Arabidopsis thaliana: one gene and its partners. The protein of the gene in region 4 interacts with the protein of the main gene of each other region in a pairwise test. Each region holds a gene or a part of one and is shown on either strand. Other genes may lie near its edges. The genes, in order: AT3G01360, G1, AT1G03660 and AT5G42370.

Region 1 (4,992 bases), on a different chromosome or scaffold from region 4:
TAACAATCTTTTCGTGTCTAAATGAAGCTAAAATCAGGTGAAACCAAGCTTACCTAAAGCAAAATGACAAGGGAGTGGTCTACCAAGTCTCCTTATTGTGGTCATTTCATCATCAGTTAGTTTTGGACTGACGCCATATGGAAGAAGGCGAAATGGTCTCCTGTAGTCAGGTACTACGGCTGGCAGAAGATCACCATCTACGGGAAGGGGATCATATGCCCACCAGTCAGTAAATCTTGGACCCAATCCTTCCAACAAACGGTCTGCTTCTTCTACAAGCTGTACTTCCCCGGGTAATTGAAACCTAACCTTATCCGGAGAACCAACGCCTTGCGTCAACATCGGTTTAACCATTTTATTAGTAATACTCGGGGCAGAAGATTCTGCAATACTCTGTTTCTCTCTACTATCAACCACTCCTTGATCCATAGATGATGCTCCTGAAGCAGCTTCATGTGCCAAATCCCGATCAGATACAAAATAAGGGTACTGATAATTTACCCCTCTATACAACAATATTTTGCTTCCAGACCTCCAAATGACTAAGCCTCCAGTTTTTGTCTGTAAAATCAACCAGGACAAGTATGAATTTCCGTCTGTGCCATTTGTTGACATGTTCATAGATCTTTCATTGAGAGTCAAATGTTACTATCAAATCCCTATCATGAAATCAAAAGTAGAGAGGCAAACAAACCTCCAAGACGTCATGGGTCCGTTTCATGTTCATTCTGGAAATATCTTCGCAGAAAATCTTCACAACCTCCGTCGTCCTCCATCTCTCGTGAATCCCATTCACAATCCCTTCCGTAATCCCAGCCTTGCCAATCTTCAGCTTCTTCGTCAACCTAATCCCCACCGTCCTCAACCGCCTCAGCTCCGCCGGCGGCAATGTCAATTCCGCCAACGACGGAACCTTCTCCTCCTTCTTCCTCTCCATCTCCGTTTCCTTCTTCCACACTCTCTTCAACTCATGGTACCTTGAAATGGCAGTACCCGACCCGGGCTTCGGAACCGGGTAACTAGGCGTGCTCCAGCTTGTGTCAATCGTGTGCCCGACCCGGTGAATCGGAAGCTGCTTAGGCAACGGAACGAATATCTCTCCTGGGGAATTCTTACCAGATTCTTCTCCCGTGATTCTCCTAGTCGGTGAATCATGCTTCTCTTCCACGAATCCAAGGCTACGAAGCTTCTCAGCGATTCTCTGGATAGCCGATTGGGGAAGAGTCTTTCGACCGGAAGCAGAACTACAGAAGATGCCGGAGTTCGCTCGACTGACATTGCGTCGCGAAACTAGGGTGTTGGGAACAAGGAATGGCGGGAAAATTCGATCGGGAAAGGTTTTGGCAAGTATCAATGGTTGCTGGTGAAACAGTGGAAGCAACATTTCTCCAAGCAAACTGGATTACGCAAGCGGAGCTATATGCAGCAGCAGCATATCCATAGAGGTCACATGATTGTCACGTGATGGTTAGAATATTTAAACATGAACTATTTGAAGACCCCAGTAGGCCCATATTGAGTTATTGGGCTACTAGCCTATCCCATTTTGGGTTATTCGGGTCGGGTCGGATCTTTCCGGTTTATCAGATCAGAAGCTCGATTCTGTTAAGCTTTAATGGCGGAAAAATCCAAATTTCCTCGAAAGAAGTATAACCTGATTCGCAGAGATTGTGAAGATTGGAGTCATGGGTATATTAAGTTACGCCGTCGCCGGCGGTGGATTTGCAGTAATCGGCGCGTGGGAGTCACTGGACTCATCGAACCTGGATCCGAATTCATCTTCTGGTACTGCTGATTCATCTTCCCCTATGGCTCAGATCAGAGCTTCGCCGCCAAAATCTGTTGGATCATCTTCCATCCCCGTAGCTTTGCTTTCGTCTCTGTTTATTGCGAACTCGTTTTTCTCCTTCTTCAGCTCAATCGGATCTCGCGATCGGGTCGGGTCAATGATCCAGTTACAGATCGTGGCAGTGGCAGTACTATTCCTATATTACGCCATTCTAACATATCTGGTCAACTCCAAAAACGCTGTCTTTGTTGCACTTCCGTCTTCGATTACAACTTTATTGCTTCTCTTTGGCTTCATTGAGGAGTTCTTAATGTTCTACCTGCAAAAGAAAGATGTTTCTGGAATCGAGAATCGTTATTACGATCTCATGCTCGTGCCCATTGCCATCTGCGTCTTCTCCACGGTTTTTGAGCTCAAATCCGACTCTAGCACGCATCGGTTTGCGAAATTAGGTCGTGGGATCGGTCTGATTCTGCAAGGAACATGGTTTCTGCAAATGGGTGTATCGTTTTTTACCGGTTTGATCACTAATAACTGTACGTTTCACGAGAAGAGCAGAGGCAATTTCACGATCAAGTGCAAAGGACACGGTGATTATCACCGAGCAAAAGCTATAGCTACTCTTCAATTTAACTGTCATTTGGCTCTAATGGTAGTTGTGGCTACTGGTTTGTTCTCTGTCATTGCTAACAAGAATGGTTATCTCCGTCAAGATCATTCTAAATATCGACCTCTCGGAGCTGAGTTGGAGAATTTAAGTACTTTCACACTTGACTCTGATGAAGAAGACGAGGTTCGAGAAGAGAGCAACGTAGCTAAAGAAGTTGGTCTCAATGGAAACAGCTCACATGATTAAAGGTATAAATCAAAGTTTCAGACTTTTTTTTTTTTGTCTGTTTTGAATCTGTCCATTTTAGAAATGTTGTTGGTCAATGGGAGGATTAATGATGATATGTAATCAAACACACGAGATAATAATAATGTTGAATCTTTTGCATTTGATATTATAAGATACTGTTTCTTATGAATAAAAATCTTACAGTTGTCTATCTCTTTTGGTTTGCTAGTTAGTTCTAAAGCTACTACTACAGTTAGATCATTCGTGGAATCTTATGGCAAACGGTTATCTAAGTCGACTGTGTCAAAGGAATCAAAGTTTTTCTTCTTTCATTTAGGGGCTTCTTCTTTTTCATCGCCTTGATCACTGCTACTCTTGAAAAACTTGCATAGAAATATGTAGACTACAAAGCTTATTGTACTTGTAAGAGCAAGAAGCCAGTAGTATTTGTCAAGCCGAGCTTCCGACATATCATCTGCAAACCAGTTTTGTCGGTCACCTGTTGAGCTCGAGTAAGCCTCGACAATTGAGATCAGTGCGGCGCTCACAAAGCTTCCAACACCAAAAACACTTGTGTAGAGAGCAAATCCCATTGTTCTCATTCTTACAGGAACCTCACTGTAGAAAAACTCTTGCATCCCAACGACTGTGAATATATCTGAGATTCCCAAGAGGATGTACTGAGGCAGCAGCCAGAAGATGCTCAGTGGGACGGTTTCTGGATCATAATCAGGTAAAGTCTTCATCTTTTGGCTTATGGCTAGTCTTTTCCTTTCGACTATTGCCGCAATAACAATGGCAATGATGGATAGAAACATTCCGACTCCCATTCTCTCCATCACAGAGATACCTGTACCGTTTTTCTTGATTCTCTTGGTAATAGGTATCAAAATCTTATCATATAATGGCATAAGCAGGATGATTGATAATGTGATCGTGCTTTGCAGGGTTGCAGGTGGGATTTTGAAGTTGGACCCAATGTTTCTCTTCATAGTCACACCTTGTTTGGTGAAAAAGGTTGCTGGTAGCTGGAAGATAACCGCGAACATGAGAAGCATCATCCATATGGGGAAAAGGCGAATCACTAACTTAACATTATCAATTCCAGAGAAAACCGTTTTCGAGCTCTCGTCATCTTCCAATCCTTTGGAGGTTGTTGAAGGAGTCTCAATGTCTTCGGTCTCACATTTACAGAGAGGCCTCTCCTCTAGCCTACATAAACAGGTAATCATTAGTCGCTAAAAAACTTAAAAGACTAATTAGTTTCATGAGATATCGTGGTTTTTCCGAACTTACTCAAGCTCCATAGCATCCAAATCTTTCTCATCTGCAAGTGTATATATGCTTCTCTGCTTCACTACTCTCCCTTTAATGAATTTAAGAATCTTCTCAAAAGGTGTAGTAGTTGTTTTCTTCTTCAGACGGGCGCCCGGAGCATAAACATAAATTCCACAACCCGACATGAACACCAAAATCGACAGGAATATCACGATACCAGGAATGGCGAAACCGAGAACCCAACCAAAAGTGTCTTGAATATAAGCCATGACTGTGACACCCATAAGGCTGCCGGTGCAGACGCCAAAGTACCACAATTGGAAAAACTGAGTCTTTCGGGTAGCTTTCGCGTCCTTTTGATCACCCGAGGAAAGATCGAAATTCTTATCGAGGTCGTGGTCGAGTTGGTCTGCACCAAAGGCTTGAAGAGAAGGGTTTAAGACGCCTAAACCGATTGAGACAAGACATAGTGAAGAGTAGAGAAAGTAAGAAGAGATAGTCTTAGTAGCTGAACGTGACCCAGCAAATGCCGTCCATGTCAATCCCACTAGTCCCTTCAAAGAAAAAACAGAAATAATATATTAAAAACTACTAACAAAAGAAGATTTTCGAGTTTCCACTAAGCTAGCTTTTTCGCCTATAAGATCCGATAAGACCCATTATAAGCACTATATCAACATTCTAATCAAAATTCCATTATCAACCCAACTATTAAAGGGATCCATATAAACTCCATTAGTGGTAAAAGAAAATTTCTAATCGGACGGTGACCAAGTATCTAATTTCTTAAAGACTCTTTAAGATGGTCTACTTGATCTATTCCTTAACTCGGAAAATGACCCAACACCTAACTTATAACTTCCTTAGATATATCGTCTAAACCAGTTTTTCTTGCACAAGTTAATACCCATTATCAGTTTATCACTTAATGACTGCTTAATCAAGCATATACATAGACATCTAATAGAAGGCCAAAACATTATCAAAATATAACCAATTCTATTAACAACGCGATTATAAAATAAGATAAATAAAAGCAACATTCCCTCACCGCCTGACCGTTATTGTCTGACGGTGGAGGAGAGTT
Region 2 (3,952 bases), on a different chromosome or scaffold from region 4:
GTGGGCGTAAGGCTGATGTTATCGCTGCCGCAAATACTGCAGCTGATGTTGCTCTAAGGCTCGTACGTCCTGGAAAAAAGGTATCATCAGTTTTACTCTTACATTAAACTTGAAACTATAGGCTTTTGGTACTATAACTGCCTCTTGAATGATTGTCAAGGTTTTACAAAACCCAGATGATGAACACTTAATAAATGGCTATGGATTATTATCCATATGATGCTTTTTTGTCATAGTTACTCTGATGGGATTTTTCTTATTCTGATTTTTAGTCTGATCCCTCGTTGGATTTACTATGAGATGTTGGAACTTTGTCTAAGGTTTTCCTCTCTTGGTCTTGCACGATGCTTTTTTTTTTTAGCGGACTTCAAATGTAAATTGTTTTGGGAAAAGATTTCTGGATGAAGACCGTAATTGTTATGGATTCGCATCCAAATGAGGCCGTAGTTACTCTGATGTGGGAAAGTTCTTTAAAATAAAGTTTCTTGCTACGAGTTTGTAGTTTCTTGTTTAGTACTACAACATATTGCAATCAAGACATTGATATTCTGTTTTTCTTATCGCAGAACACTGATGTAACTGAAGCTATTCAGAAGGTAGCTGCAGCTTATGACTGCAAAATTGTTGAAGGTGTTCTTTCCCACCAGCTGAAACAGCATGTGATAGATGGAAACAAGGTTGTGCTTAGTGTATCCAGCCCTGAAACAACTGTTGACGAAGTGGAATTTGAAGAGAATGAAGTCTATGCAATAGATATTGTGGCAAGTACTGGTGATGGCAAGGTAATTTCTTTTGTTTATCGCATCCCGATCACTATTGGTGAACCTTTGTCTATTGCCATTGTTCTCACAATCTTTGACTTTGCAGCCAAAGCTATTAGACGAGAAGCAAACAACTATTTACAAGAAAGATGAAAGTGTTAACTATCAGTTGAAGATGAAGGCCTCCAGATTCATAATCAGCGAAATTAAACAGAACTTCCCCCGTATGCCATTCACTGCAAGGTGTCTTTTGTACCTTCTGAAGCATTTTATATTCCTTAAACTATTATCTCACTTGCTAACGTTACCTGAGAGTATTATCAATACAGGTCACTGGAGGAGAAAAGGGCACGGCTTGGACTTGTGGAGTGTGTGAACCATGGTCATTTGCAACCATATCCTGTTCTTTACGAGAAGCCTGGTAAGGATGATGAAAGGGTTTTGAATCTATAAACCTCTTTTATCTGAATCTTGATATCAAGGCTCATGTCGTTTTGGTTTTCTACCAGGGGATTTTGTTGCTCAGATTAAGTTCACAGTTTTGCTGATGCCAAATGGATCAGATAGGATCACTTCACATACACTTCAGGAACTTCCTAAAAAGACCATCGAAGACCCTGAGATCAAAGGGTGGTTAGCTTTGGGCATCAAGAAGAAGAAAGGTGGTGGAAAGAAGAAGAAAGGTAAGAACTTAAAATAAATTTCCAGACTTTTACCTTATATGACGTGATCCACATGTTGATTAAAAAGGTTCAATTTGGTGTTTTGCAGCCCAAAAGGCGGGAGAGAAAGGAGAGGCTTCAACAGAGGCTGAGCCAATGGACGCAAGTAGTAATGCTCAAGAATGAGTAGGAAGATTTGTCTTTGTTTCTTTTAAAGAATTTTTGAAACTTGAGGTACCTCTTTCGTTGTATGTTTGGGTTTCAAGAGAGTCTCTTCTTAAACAAAAAAAAACAAACAATAGTTTACCACCTTTGTGCATATTTTTGCACAAAGCACTTTTCATCATCATTTCTTTGCTTGTCCTAATCTTATCTCATTCTCTAATCAAAAATACTTATCTGGTTTCAGGCTATAACAATAACTCTGTTTAGAAACACTTGTTACCAACAAACTACTCTTTGAATGTGTTTACGTGGTAAGGATTTGATCCCACAGAAGAGAAATATTTGTGACAGAAGAAAAAAACTCAGCTCTTCAATAATCGAAGCTTATACAGATTTTTGGATTGGTTGATTTTGAGATTGTAACGAATAGTAATCAGAATTTCACTTAAGAAATTGTGATTGAACCCTCTAAACCACAGAGAGGGTTCTTGACGTGGTCCATAGTTCTTCAGTGGGGCGGCTTGTGGCTTCTTTTTCATTTTTCCAGAAAACCCCATAAACCTCTCGCTCTCGGGAATTTGATTGATTCCCACGAGGAAAAATCAATCTTCCCGGAAAATGGCAGCTAGGTTATTGTTCCGTCGAAGTTCTCAAATCCTCCGATCAATTCAACGAAATCCTCAAATCTCATCGTCATTCGAATCACCACCTTGCCCGATTTTTCACTCATTGACCACCGCCTCACCAGATCCATCGCGATTATCATCCTTAACCTTCCTCCGATCTCTCTCCATCGCTCGTCGCGGTCCAACACGTCCTAAGAAAATCGATATCGGAGCCAAAGCGCGTCAGATGCAGAATCGCCGTTTATGGACCTACGCGCTAACCTTCAGCTGCATCGCCGGATTCGTAGTTATCGTCCTTAACCAATTTCAGGATCAGCTTGTCTTCTACCTAACGCCATCAGACGCTATGGAGAAATTCGCAGAGAATCCAACAAAGAACAAATTCAGACTCGGTGGTTTGGTTCTAGAAGGTAGCGTTGCGCAGCCGGCGGCGTCACAGGAGATGGAGTTTGTGATCACTGATCTGATCACTGATATTTTGGTTAGGTATAAAGGATCTTTGCCGGATCTGTTTAGGGAAGGTCATTCAGTTGTGGTTGAAGGATTCATTAAGCCGTATACAGATGAAGTAAGGAAGGAAGTTTCTACAAAACCTATTTCGAAGAAAGCTAGGAACCTCGATTGTTTCTTCTCGGCGACTGAAGTTTTGGCTAAGCATGATGAGAAGTATATGCCACAGGAAGTTGCGGCGGCGATTGAGAAGAATAAGAAAATTATTGAAGCGGCGGCGACTGAACAAGCTGCTGAAGTTGCGGCTTCTTAGATTGGTATAAACTTCATTCTTTTTAAGTTAATCAAAATTTTCCCCAAGTTCGAGCTTTTGGTGAGTATTGTTCATCTTATAAGGTTATATTTGATTATAGTTTCTGGAAAAGAGTAGGAAGATTGGAATGTTATATTCCTGGAAAACAGAGATTTGATTTTTGAGTCTATTTGAGAATTAAGTGGAGAAATGTGATACACTATACAATAGCTTTGTTTGATTCCACAAAGCTATAAGCTAATCTACTTTCTTGTTGTGTTGATCAAATAAAGAACACTTTGACGAGGGATCAAATATGCTGCTTGATTCATTGTGTTGTTGGATGTTTTGTTTGTTGTTGATGTGCACACAGATTAGAGAAGCTATGTTTTGTTGCTGCACACAGATTAGATTGATCTAGTGAATCTTATTAGCTTCATCAGGTCGTGGGTATATAATTGTAAACGTATCACCAAAGTTGTAGCTTGTGTGACCTTATTCTTATCATGACTAGGTACTATAGCCAAAAGAGTTGAACATACAGGTCTTTCAGAGCTTCCTCTTAGTTGTTCTGGAGGTTCCAAGCTCTTTCTTTGTTGTTTTATAAATATGGGTTGAGCTTGTTGACAATCTTGAAGATGGTCATGCATTCCTTTTATGCATCTTATGTTTCAACTAGGCAATTCTGGCCCTGGAGATTTCAAGTTTGTACTTTCTGAGTCGATTAGGTGCCTAGTTTTTGCCTCTAGAATCATGGCATTGGCTTCTGTTTTGGCACTTCTCTTAGGCTTGTTGGTTGATAACCAACTACTAGTCTACTAATGTAGCTGTAGTTTGAAGTGTTCCGCAGTTACGCTATTGCTTTTGCTTTTTTTAAGTGCATCTTTATATATGCATCAGTCTCTCATTGTATAGCAAATTTATCGTGGGTGGTATATGATTCAGTCAACAAAAACTGACTATCAAGTATGGAACGAGTGGTATATGATTGAGTCA
Region 3 (5,150 bases), on a different chromosome or scaffold from region 4:
ATCTCCATTATACATGGCTGTAGAAGCTGGATATCACGAGCTCGTGCTTAAAATGCTTGAATCTTCATCTTCCCCATCTATACTAGCTTCGATGTTCAGTGGAAAATCTGTTATACATGCAGCAATGAAGGCCAATAGAAGAGGTTTGTTTCTATGTTTGTTCAACCTTGTACGCCAAGTGTTCTTTATATGTTTTAATTATTTCTTGGTCATTGCTTTGACAGATATCCTAGGTATTGTTCTTAGACAAGATCCAGGACTTATTGAATTACGCAACGAAGAAGGAAGGACATGTCTTTCCTATGGAGCATCAATGGGATGTTATGAGGGAATTCGCTATATACTAGCAGAGTTTGACAAAGCAGCTTCAAGCCTTTGTTATGTCGCTGATGATGATGGCTTCACTCCTATTCATATGGCGGCAAAGGAAGGACATGTCAGAATCATTAAGGAGTTTCTTAAACACTGTCCTGACTCAAGAGAGCTACTTAACAATCAATGTCAGAATATCTTTCACGTTGCTGCCATAGCTGGTAAGTCGAAAGTTGTCAAGTATCTTTTAAAACTTGATGAAGGGAAAAGAATGATGAATGAACAAGATATCAATGGGAATACACCGTTACACCTAGCCACTAAACACAGATACCCGATAGTTGTGAATATGCTTACATGGAACGATGGGATTAACCTCAGAGCACTCAACAATGAAGGCTTTACAGCTTTAGATATTGCTGAGACGATGAAGGACAATAACGCTTACGTACTTTACAAGGTATGTCAAATTTGAAGATTCATGTAGTTAATGATAAAGTCTCATGTAACTTTTTTTATTGGTTTACAGAGATTGATTTGGATGGCTTTGGTATCTGCTGGAGCACCACATGGCCCAAACCTGATTCCCTTGACTGTGTCACAGAGTAGCAAACAAAGTCCAGAAAGATACAAGGATAGTGTCAATACTCTTATGGTGACTGCAACACTCGTAGCAACCGTGACCTTCGCTGCAGGTTTGACATTACCCGGTGGTTACATGAGTTCTGCTCCACATTTAGGCATGGCTGCATTGGTCAATAAGTTGAATTTTAAGGTATTTCTGTTGTTGAACAACATTGCAATGTGCACTTCTGTGGTAACTGTAATGGCTCTAATATGGGCACAACTGGGTGATGCACTTCTGACAAAGAAAGCTTTTCGACTAGCTTTACCACTTCTGTTAACAGCTGTTGTATCAATGATGATGGCATCTGTGGCTGGACTTACTCTTGTGGTGAGCGATCTCCCATGGCTTTCCCATCTTGTATTAGCCATAGATTCAGCCTTCTTGGTATTCCTGATGCTACTTATCATTCCTTACGCTTTCTCGTCTACAAGACATGGCTTTCTCAGACATATCTTCTACTTTCCTTATTTCTTGATGCTTTTGGTTGTTAGCGAAGGCAGCAACAACATGGATGGTTAAAGAATGCTCTGTTCTGTTCTATTCTGCTCTGTTTTGTATCATGGATGATGGATGGTTAGTGTTCTGTTTGTTTTTAACAGTTTTTGTATCTCACGAGTTTGTAATTGTGGTTTTACTAAGTAACCACAAAAATTGGTACAGAGACAAATATGACCGTTGGCTGTTGCAAAGAGCTCACATGCATGATCCCGACTTTGCTCCTCTCGCTTTCAAGGCCAAATTCTCTGTTTCAAAAATAAGAAACCTCAAATAATTTGTCTTGATAAATTGTTGTTACGCAGTAAGATACAAATATGACCGTTGTGAGGAAATTTCCTTTTCTTTTTTTGCAGCCTAATTAAAATTTCCTTTTTCTTAACCTAGTCGAAAACAAAAAGGAAACAATAGAAATTTCCTTTTTTCTATTGAACAACGTTTGCTTATAAATACTCTTCTTCCTTGTAAAATAACTAATTCTTCATTCATCTTCTTCTTCTTCTTCTTCTGCAAAACGAAAACAAAAGAAACCATCTTTCATTTCTATTTTTCTTCGGAGGATCTATGGATCGATTGGATTTTGACTCAGTCGGTACGTGTTATCTGAAACTATTTTGGTGTGAATCTCTTTTGCTTTTAATTGTGAGTTTCGTTGTTCTGTTTAATCTTTAATAGGGTTTGTTTTGGATTATGTTTATCTTTGATGGTTTGAAGTTTAAGAAGATTTAGAACAATAAACGTCGTCGGCGTTTGATTCCAGTCATCGCCGGAGAGAACAAGGCCCAATCGTCGTTTACAATCACCGTTCTTCCTTGTCCAATTCCATTAGGGCTAGGGATGATGCAGTAACACCAATCTCATAAAGTCATAGTCCTCTCTTTCTTGACCTGTAACGGTAAGTAATTTCCAAAATCCTCTATGCTTTTCTCTTTTTTTTTTTTTGTCTACTGTCTCTAAATTTAGCCCTAAACCAAATATTCACTCCTTTCTTCGTTTTATTCAATTTCAGCCTATTGAAAGTTATCGCCTACTAGATTTGTGGACAAACACTGTTCATCAACAATTCAACACTTATTCCATGTAAGTTATTATTATTATTATTATTATTATTTTTTTTTTTTTAACACGATTCCATGTAAGTTATTTCTTCTATTATTCGTTCATTTTTTAAAAATAATAAATTACAAAATGTTTTTGTTTTCAACAAAAAAATAAAAGTATTTTCAACAGTAGTTTTTAATTTTATTTAACAAACTGTTTTCGTTTACACATATTTAAATTTTTAACAATTGTTTCTCTTCTATTAAAAAATATTTTTAAACTTATATTTTTATATAACTATTAAAACTATAAAGGTTTTTTGGATAAGTGTTAAATTTTTGAATTTTGTGTAAACTAATTGGACATAACATCCAAACCCCTAAGAGGTGTCCTAGGTTCAATATGGTTTACACTTAATTTAAATTTTTAATACTTATCATCATTTTATTATAAAAAGTTTTTAAAATTATATTTTTATATAACTATTAAAATTATAAGGGTTTTTTGGATAAATATTAAATTTTTAAATGTTATGTAAACTAATTAGACACAACATCTAAAACCCTAAGAGGTGTCCTAAATTCAATATGGTTTACACATAATTAAAAATTTTAACATTTGTTTTTAATTTATTAAAAAATGTTTTTAAAATTATATTTTTATATTACTATTGAAACTATAAGTTTTTTTTTGGATAAATGTTAAATTTTTAAATATTGTGTTAAACTAATTAGACACAACATCCAAACCCCTTAGAAGTGTCCTAGGTTCAATATAGTTTACACATAATTTAGATTTTTAACACTTATTTTTATTTTATTTTAAAATGTTTTTAAAATTATATTTTTAAAACTATAAGGTTGTTTTGGATAAAGACAAAAACCCAACCTTTGAATCATCGACTTTTTGCGTTGGAGTCAACGACCTTAATTCAATTATTTAATTGCTTGCTCGGCAAGCTAAACATCGTCGTTGATTGGTACGCACATCCAGACTTCTCCTTTCTTATTTTGATTAAGTCAATGACTTGTTAGGATTAAATATTTTGGTTGCTACAAGTTCAAAACTTCAACATTATTTTCTTCGTCTTCCTTCATCACCTAGATTTCAAAGCGTCTTAAGGTAATCTTTGAGTGTGTATTTTCAAGTTTAAGTTCTAACTATTCTTTTTGGGTTTCAATTGGAAAAAGAGAGTAAGTTTATGATAAAATTTCTGAATCTGCTTTTTAAAACATGTTTTTGTGAAGTCCTATCATCATGTCTCGTTTAATTCAATCTTTCAGAGATATAATAAGCTTGGATATGGCTTTGGGATCTGCTAGTTCACCAAATGGTACACAACCAATTCTCTTGAGTGCTTCACAGCGTCCCAGAATATCTAAACTACAAGAACGTATCTTATTGCTTATGGTGGTACAACAATTGTAGCAGTTGTGACATTTGTTATGGGTTTCACATTTACAAAGATCTACACCAGTTCTGCTCCAGATTTAGGCATCACAGGTTTGGTCAAGAAAGCAGTGTTCATAGTTTTTCTGGTTTGCAATAGCATTCCAGTGCTCTTGTCTGTCATAGCTACAATGAATCTTATTTGGCCACAACATCTGGGTGATATTCCTCTGATACAGCAAGCTATGAAACGAGCCATGGTACTTATCATGTTTGCTTTTTGGTCTATGGTTGTTGCATTTGCATTTGGAGTTTGTCTTGTATTGATGCTCCTTCCATGGCATTCCTTCCATGTCTTTAGCTCCAAAGCACATAAGTGATGTGTATGTAGGTTTGTGAACATTTTCCATTACACATTCAAGCTCTTGATTGTTTCTATCTGCAATCTTTCATAAGTTCGTTCACAGTGATTGATCAAATATGTTGTCTTTTAATTTGGTGTGGTCTCTGATACAGTTCCTCTGTTTCTGGGGACTAAATTGTCACAAAAGTTAAATTTGTGGGTCAAATCACAATTTCAAATAGTTTCTAAAAGTCGTCCCCGCCGTCGCTACGCACCTTCATCAAAATCAAATCACAATTTCCTTGGCTCACTCGCTCTCACCGGCTGCGAAACCAACGAGAGATTCCACAAAATCGAATCTTTTGTACAATGGACAAAGGAGTTGTGGTAGAGCTGATTAGAGGGTCGACCAGTTGGGCCAAAGTTGTGGAAGATATCGTGAAGCTGGAGAAGAAAACGTTCCCTAAACACGAATCTCTCGCTCAAACTTTCGATGCAGAGCTGCGTAAGAAAAACGCCGGTTTGCTATACGTGGATGCTGAAGGAGACACAGTAGGCTATGCCATGTATTCTTGGCCATCTTCGCTTTCCGCTTCAATCACCAAGCTCGCAGGTATAGACAAACGTCCGCCAACTGTTCGATGAAATTACTCAGTGATAAAATTCAGAAAATATAATTTCGTTAGAGAAGAAGTGGAATTATTCTGCCAAACTTCTACTGAAAAATCTTTCAACCATTTGATAAATTAACCTGTAGATTATTATATAGTCAAGGACCAATGATTCTGGTAAATTCGAGAGCTTTCAATAGAAATTCTGACTAGACAAAGCCCTTGTTCTAGCTTTGGTTTTGCATGCTTAAAGATTAATGGAGATAGCTCATAAGTCAAGAACACGTATGGAATTTTTCTTATTAGGCAAGTTAAGAGCAAAAACATTAGG
Region 4 (5,728 bases):
AAACAGAGATGTTTTTGTTAAATAATCTTTGAGCTCGATAATTACGGGGAGAAGTTTCAAAGAATAACTGAATTGTTTGAACAATATATGCTGGGCCGAGTTAAACCGTCGAGCTTAGAAAGCCGAACTATACATCAGTAAAAGCTTTTACATGAAGTTGGCATTTGAGATGCAAAAAGATAAAAATAAAACTCTCTTTTGGTCCATATAGAAATATATTTTCTTATGGAAAGGGAATTCAGGACCGGGAATGTAACAGTTAGATGAAACTTCATCACATGAAATATTTTATTTTTAATTCAAGTTTCTAGGAACAGAGGAAGTCATACCACTTTCGTGGAGCATATCTGGACGGTTATATGAAACTTCATGACAGTTTAACAATTTAAAAGACCAAAACCACGTGTCCGCACATCGTATACTCAATCAAAGTCAAAGAGAAGGTTTGCTACTTTTCTTAATCTAGTCGTCGATATGACATCACATTTCACACAATACGTGAGAAAAACTTACCATCACATTATTACGAAAACACCCCTAGTCGTGGTCAACTTGACCTTTCCCCACAAACACTCATTGCGGAGGAAACTTCCCGGCCACCGCCGCGCAACCGCCTCTAGCTTTAAATAATAACACCAAAATATTCAAACCCGTGTTTTAACCGTCGAACAATCAAGAATCTCTCCACCATTACACGCATTCACATACTCATCTATATATAATCTACCACTTCTTGAAAAGAATTTGCATCAGAAATCCATTTCCCAAATCTTCTAGATTCATATTCAAATCAAGAAATGACTCTCGCTAAGAACCAAAAATCATCATTGTCACGACTATACAAGAAAGTTTCCTCGAAGAGATCAGAATCGTCAAGAAACCTTGAAGACGAATCAAGAACGAGCAGTAATAGTAGCGGAAGCAGCTCGTTAAACGTTAACGAGCTAAGAACCGTTTTTGACTATATGGATGCAAACTCAGACGGGAAAATCTCCGGTGAAGAGCTACAAAGCTGCGTTAGTCTCTTAGGCGGCGCGTTATCGTCACGTGAGGTGGAGGAAGTGGTGAAGACATCAGACGTTGACGGAGACGGGTTTATAGATTTTGAGGAGTTTTTGAAGCTTATGGAAGGGGAAGATGGTAGTGATGAAGAAAGGAGGAAGGAGTTGAAAGAAGCGTTTGGGATGTATGTTATGGAGGGGGAAGAGTTTATTACGGCGGCGAGTTTACGGAGGACGTTGAGTCGACTCGGCGAGTCGTGTACGGTTGATGCTTGTAAGGTTATGATTCGTGGGTTTGATCAGAATGACGATGGAGTTCTCAGCTTTGACGAGTTTGTTTTGATGATGCGTTGAGATGATATATATGGGATTGGGACATCTTCCTTCCCTCCTCAAAATTTTATTCATTCAATTATTATTTTTGTGAGAGATTCTTATTCCTTTGTATATTTGTGTCTCATCTAATCTATTTGTATTATTTAACACACTTCATAATAAACGTGTCTTGTTTTGATATTCTGAATTTGTCAAAACATACAAAATGTGTTTATATGTCTCCCCATAACTGAGAATACCCAATTAAGGGGACTAAAATCTAAAACTGCGAGTCGTAAAAGAGGCCAGTCATCACCACCATTTGCCGCTCGACCAATGTCACTAGGTGAGTGAGAAACAACCGATAACGCGCGTATATTCTCACATCACTCATTTTTTGGTAGAGGTCGGTAAAACATTTCATATCGTTTGACGTTTGTAAATCTACAGTTTTATTATGCTAGAACAATGATATTGATTCACATTATTGGATGTTTCTATAATTACAGTTACAAACAGATACATAATTATTGCACCAATTCACTTTTTCTATTCAATAAGAGATAATATTGTTTGTAAACCTTTTAACTAAAACGATCCGCTTCGAAACTTGTTTCTTAATGTCTAAAACAATATTACACTTCACAATTTTGCCATCCGTAGAAGTCTCTAGTGTAAAAAATTCTGAATTTGCATGGTTCCGGGGAAATTTTATACAATCTAGAAAATTGGAATAAAATTTTCATAAAATTATTTTTTTGGTCGGATAAAGTTTTCATAGAAGAACACATATTAAATGGATTTATCATCACATAGTAGTAGATAAACAATTTAAATTATGTAATACAAATCAAAATGAATTAATCTATTTGCCACATATAGTGAATTTGATTTCTATTCAAAGGGGAAAATACAAATTCATTTTTAATATGTAGTAGATATTTGTTTCTCAAGTAATTAATATTCATATTTAAAAAATCATTGCATATGTTAAACAAATCTACAAAAAAATTCAATGGTCATTCCATAATTATAAATAATACGGATATTTCACAAATTCACTTTTTGTTTGGAACCCAGAAAAAAGATTCATAAAACCAGGCAATAGAAATTTCATCTGAAGAAAAGAAAAAGTAAAGCTATTAAAAATCAAAGCCACGAGAAGAAAGTAGAAAAAGTTACAGTCTCTGTCTATCAAAATCCCAACGGTAACTGAAAATCGCCGGAACCGAATCTGCGGCGAGCCAAAACTTGTGGATCTTTTAATGAAAACTTGAAGATTCCTCTTTCCACGGTTGCTTCTAGGGTTTTCTCTTCGATTCACCACATCGTCATGAACCAAATCTCTTTCTGGTGCCTTTCTTTACTCCTTACGGTGGTGATTGCTGCAGAAGAGACTCCTATCACTCGTATAGCCTTCGGATCATGCGCTAATCAAAGTGCTCCACAGGTAAATCAATCGTACAACCCCTACTTGGCTCTGGATTCAGTGTTTTAAGACTGCTCTGTTTGGCTGGTGTTTAAGTGAGCTGATTATGGTTTTTGTTTAATTAGCCGATGTTCTCTTAGATGATATAAGCTTGTGTTGCATACTATGTTAAACATTGTATTTTTGTTACATTTTAGCCGATATGGGATGCGATAAACAAGTTTGATCCGCAACTGTTTATTTGGTTGGGTGATAACATCTACGGAGATATAAGAAGACCACTTACAGTCATTGGGAAAGAGAGAACTTTTGGGCCATGGAGGAATTCACCGAGGTTTGTACCTTCTTCAGAGGAAGAAATGAAACTAAGATACGCTAAAGCCAAAGCTAATCCTGGATATTCTCGTATTCAGAGAAAAGCTAAGGTTATTGGTACATGGGATGATCATGATTACGGATTGAATGACGCTGGAAAAGAGTTTGATCGTAAAGTCATTAACCAAAAACTTATGCTTGATTTCTTGAATGAGCCTCTTGATAGTCCTAGGAGAAAGCAAGCTGGTGTTTATGCTTCTTATACTTATGGTCCGCCTAATCGGAAAGTTAAGGTATTAACAGAAACTCTTGTCTTCTTTGGTAGTTTTGTTAAGTTTAGAATGAAGAGCTTATATGTGATTTAACACAGTTGTGTATCTCCTTCAGGTTATAGTTTTAGATACTAGATATCATAGAGACCCTTTAAGAAGTGACGGGAGCATATTGGGTGATACGCAGTGGGACTGGCTCGAAAATGAATTGAGCGGTCCCCGAAGCGAAATCACTATCATAGGATCCTCTGTTCAGGTATCTGCAAATTAGACTTTTGTGTCCTGTTCCAGTTTGGCCATGGACTTAAACTTGATGAAGCCTGAGTGTCTTATTCCATCTAGAACTGTTGTCTCTTAACTTGTCCAGGTGATATCAAATCTTTCTGCTACCACTGGACCTCTCTTTTATATGGAATCATGGGGTCGTTTTCCAAAGGAAAGGAAACGTCTTTTTAAACTGATAGCAGATACTAAGGTATGGGATTGTTGACAGTAATGTTTCCAACTGTCAGTTTTCTTCTTTCCTCGTCCCCATAATTCTTCGTTGCTTTGACATTACAGAGAGATGGAGTTATATTCATCAGTGGAGATGTACATTTTGGAGAAATCACGAGATATGATTGTTCTGTTGGGTACCCATTATATGATGTCACCTCCAGTGGTCTAGTACAATCTGTTGAGAAAGTTGTCCCTCGTCCCTTGCGTTCCATAGTTAGGCTTCTTTTTTGGTATACTCCAAGCACGATGAGAGTTATCAATGATAACTGCAAATTCAAATCTTGCACATACGGTATTATTCTCAATTTGATTCCTTTTACGTTTTCTTCTGATAAACTGTGGAAAGATTTATTGACAAGCCAAGACACAGTGAGTCTACTTTAAGTTCCAACTTTAGCTCTATAGCTCTACTGTCACTAACCTAGGACGGAATATAGTAGACTGTAACTGTTGTGAGTTGATTTAACAGAGCAGCGATGTACTCTTTTGTATGATTACATTGGTTACAATATCTTAAACTTACGTGCAGGACAACAAAATTTTGGAGCAATATCGATAGATTGGAATGCAAATCCGGTTACCATAAAGCTCGAGATCAGAGATGTTAACGGAGACACTGTACTAGGCACGAATGTTTCATTATCTGAACTCCAACCAGGAGGCTCGAATTCTTTAAAAGATACAACAACTAAGGGAAAGTCTCAACGATATTGCACACTCGAAATTGAATTACCAGGAACGACCAGATACCGATTGGCAGTTCTCATCTACTTCACCATTGCTGGTATGTCATTCTTCCTCACTGTGGTTGGTCATGATGAAAGAATGTTGCGGAGTACTGATATATACGTTGTTTGATTGGGTTCGACAGTCTTGGCAATGGCGATATTAGGACTTATCATTGGAGCTGTATTGGCCATAACAGCATGCGTTTATAAATGCAAGGTCGATTGATTGTTGATGACATTAATCAACTTTTTTTGGTCCAACAAAAGTGTCTTTATGACTTATAATCTGTATTAGTTGGATTATTCAGGGATTACAATTCGGATGTAGCTTATAATGTTAAAAATTGTTGAACACATGGATTTTGATCTTGTGATGGGAATTCTAAGCTTGAGCTGTTATTAATTAAACTTCTTTGAAAGAGAATGTTTGTGAACACAAGTTAAATTCTAGACTACATGCAATAGCATTATAGTTTCCAGTTTCTTTTTTCTTTTATTATTGTAAACCAAGGTTTATCGTTTATTACATATGAAGGTTTTCACTGTCTATTTGTAATAAATTAAACAAATTAAAGTTTTTATAATTTCAGTAATGATCTCAAAACGGATACTAGCTTTGATTGGTGAACAAAAACAAAGTATATTGGCTTTGATTGGTGAACAAAAACAAAGTATTACAATTTGTACCGCTTTTATTTCTGTTAATTACAAAAGCTTTTTTAAAGCGTTACAAAAAGTTTTACTCTCAGCTTTATTACTATATAGCTTTCTCGTACAACTATTTTTTTACAACTTTGCAGTATTCCGAAAAAGTTTTTATCACCGTTAACAGTTAAGATTTGAACAGCTGTATGTTACCGATAGGATCCACTATACTTCCCAAATCTGATGTTAATTAGTAATATGAGGTTAATTTTTTACTATTTTATTGAAAAAGCGATATTCTTGCAATTGACCCATAATTGAGTCAGCTTAATTTCCATTTATTTTTTTTTTGTTTTTTATTTATTTTTTTAGCTTCCGCTTTCTGCAGTATGATCTATTTAAAATAAAATAAAAAAGGGAAAAGTGGGAAATCGATGCGTCAATCTTAGGTCTCCGAGGTCTCAATTATTTCATCTTCTTCGGTGATTTCTGGGGAAGATGCTCTGGATTTGGGAAAGCAACTCT

Evidence for each region.
Region 1: the proteins of AT5G42370 (region 4) and AT3G01360 interact in a protein complementation assay, tested with the Arabidopsis thaliana proteins (one large-scale study listed by BioGRID).
Region 2: the proteins of AT5G42370 (region 4) and G1 interact in a protein complementation assay, tested with the Arabidopsis thaliana proteins (one large-scale study listed by BioGRID).
Region 3: the proteins of AT5G42370 (region 4) and AT1G03660 interact in a protein complementation assay, tested with the Arabidopsis thaliana proteins (one large-scale study listed by BioGRID).

The regions. Positions count from the first base shown.
Region 1 is NC_003074.8:135,425-140,416, reverse strand, and holds AT3G01360 (plant viral-response family protein (DUF716)), read left to right. Parts: upstream 1-1,685; coding exon 1,686-2,645; 3' UTR 2,646-2,647; exon of another isoform or gene 2,648-2,823; intron 2,824-2,856; 3' UTR 2,857-2,956; coding exon of another isoform or gene 2,957-3,839; 3' UTR 3,840-3,923; downstream 3,924-4,992. Other genes in the region: CFM2 (CRM family member 2), read right to left, coding at 54-561, 695-1,384; AT3G01350 (Major facilitator superfamily protein), read right to left, coding at 2,957-3,839, 3,924-4,459.
Region 2 is NC_003074.8:19,208,918-19,212,869, reverse strand, and holds G1 (transmembrane protein G1P-related 1), read left to right. Parts: upstream 1-2,020; 5' UTR 2,021-2,206; coding exon 2,207-2,977; 3' UTR 2,978-3,355; downstream 3,356-3,952. Other genes in the region: ATG2 (metallopeptidase M24 family protein), read left to right, coding at 1-80, 567-782, 868-1,004, 1,091-1,182, 1,244-1,444, 1,533-1,609. UniProt on the Arabidopsis thaliana protein: Heme-binding chaperone that may be involved in cytochrome c maturation in mitochondria.
Region 3 is NC_003070.9:910,531-915,680, reverse strand, and holds AT1G03660 (Ankyrin-repeat containing protein), read left to right. Parts: upstream 1-1,872; 5' UTR 1,873-2,027; intron 2,028-2,085; exon of another isoform or gene 2,086-2,149; 5' UTR 2,150-2,330; intron 2,331-2,444; 5' UTR 2,445-2,515; intron 2,516-3,415; exon of another isoform or gene 3,416-3,598; intron 3,599-3,759; 5' UTR 3,760-3,921; coding exon 3,922-4,245; 3' UTR 4,246-4,371; downstream 4,372-5,150. Other genes in the region: AT1G03670 (ankyrin repeat family protein), read left to right, coding at 1-143, 225-772, 842-1,459; AT1G03650 (Acyl-CoA N-acyltransferases (NAT) superfamily protein), read left to right, coding at 4,578-4,821.
Region 4 is NC_003076.8:16,938,385-16,944,112, reverse strand, and holds AT5G42370 (Calcineurin-like metallo-phosphoesterase superfamily protein), read left to right. Parts: upstream 1-2,378; 5' UTR 2,379-2,649; coding exon 2,650-2,766; intron 2,767-2,942; coding exon 2,943-3,353; intron 3,354-3,447; coding exon 3,448-3,588; intron 3,589-3,699; coding exon 3,700-3,807; intron 3,808-3,893; coding exon 3,894-4,199; intron 4,200-4,359; coding exon of another isoform or gene 4,360-4,418; coding exon 4,419-4,614; intron 4,615-4,701; coding exon 4,702-4,784; 3' UTR 4,785-5,132; downstream 5,133-5,728. Other genes in the region: CML37 (calmodulin like 37), read left to right, coding at 798-1,355.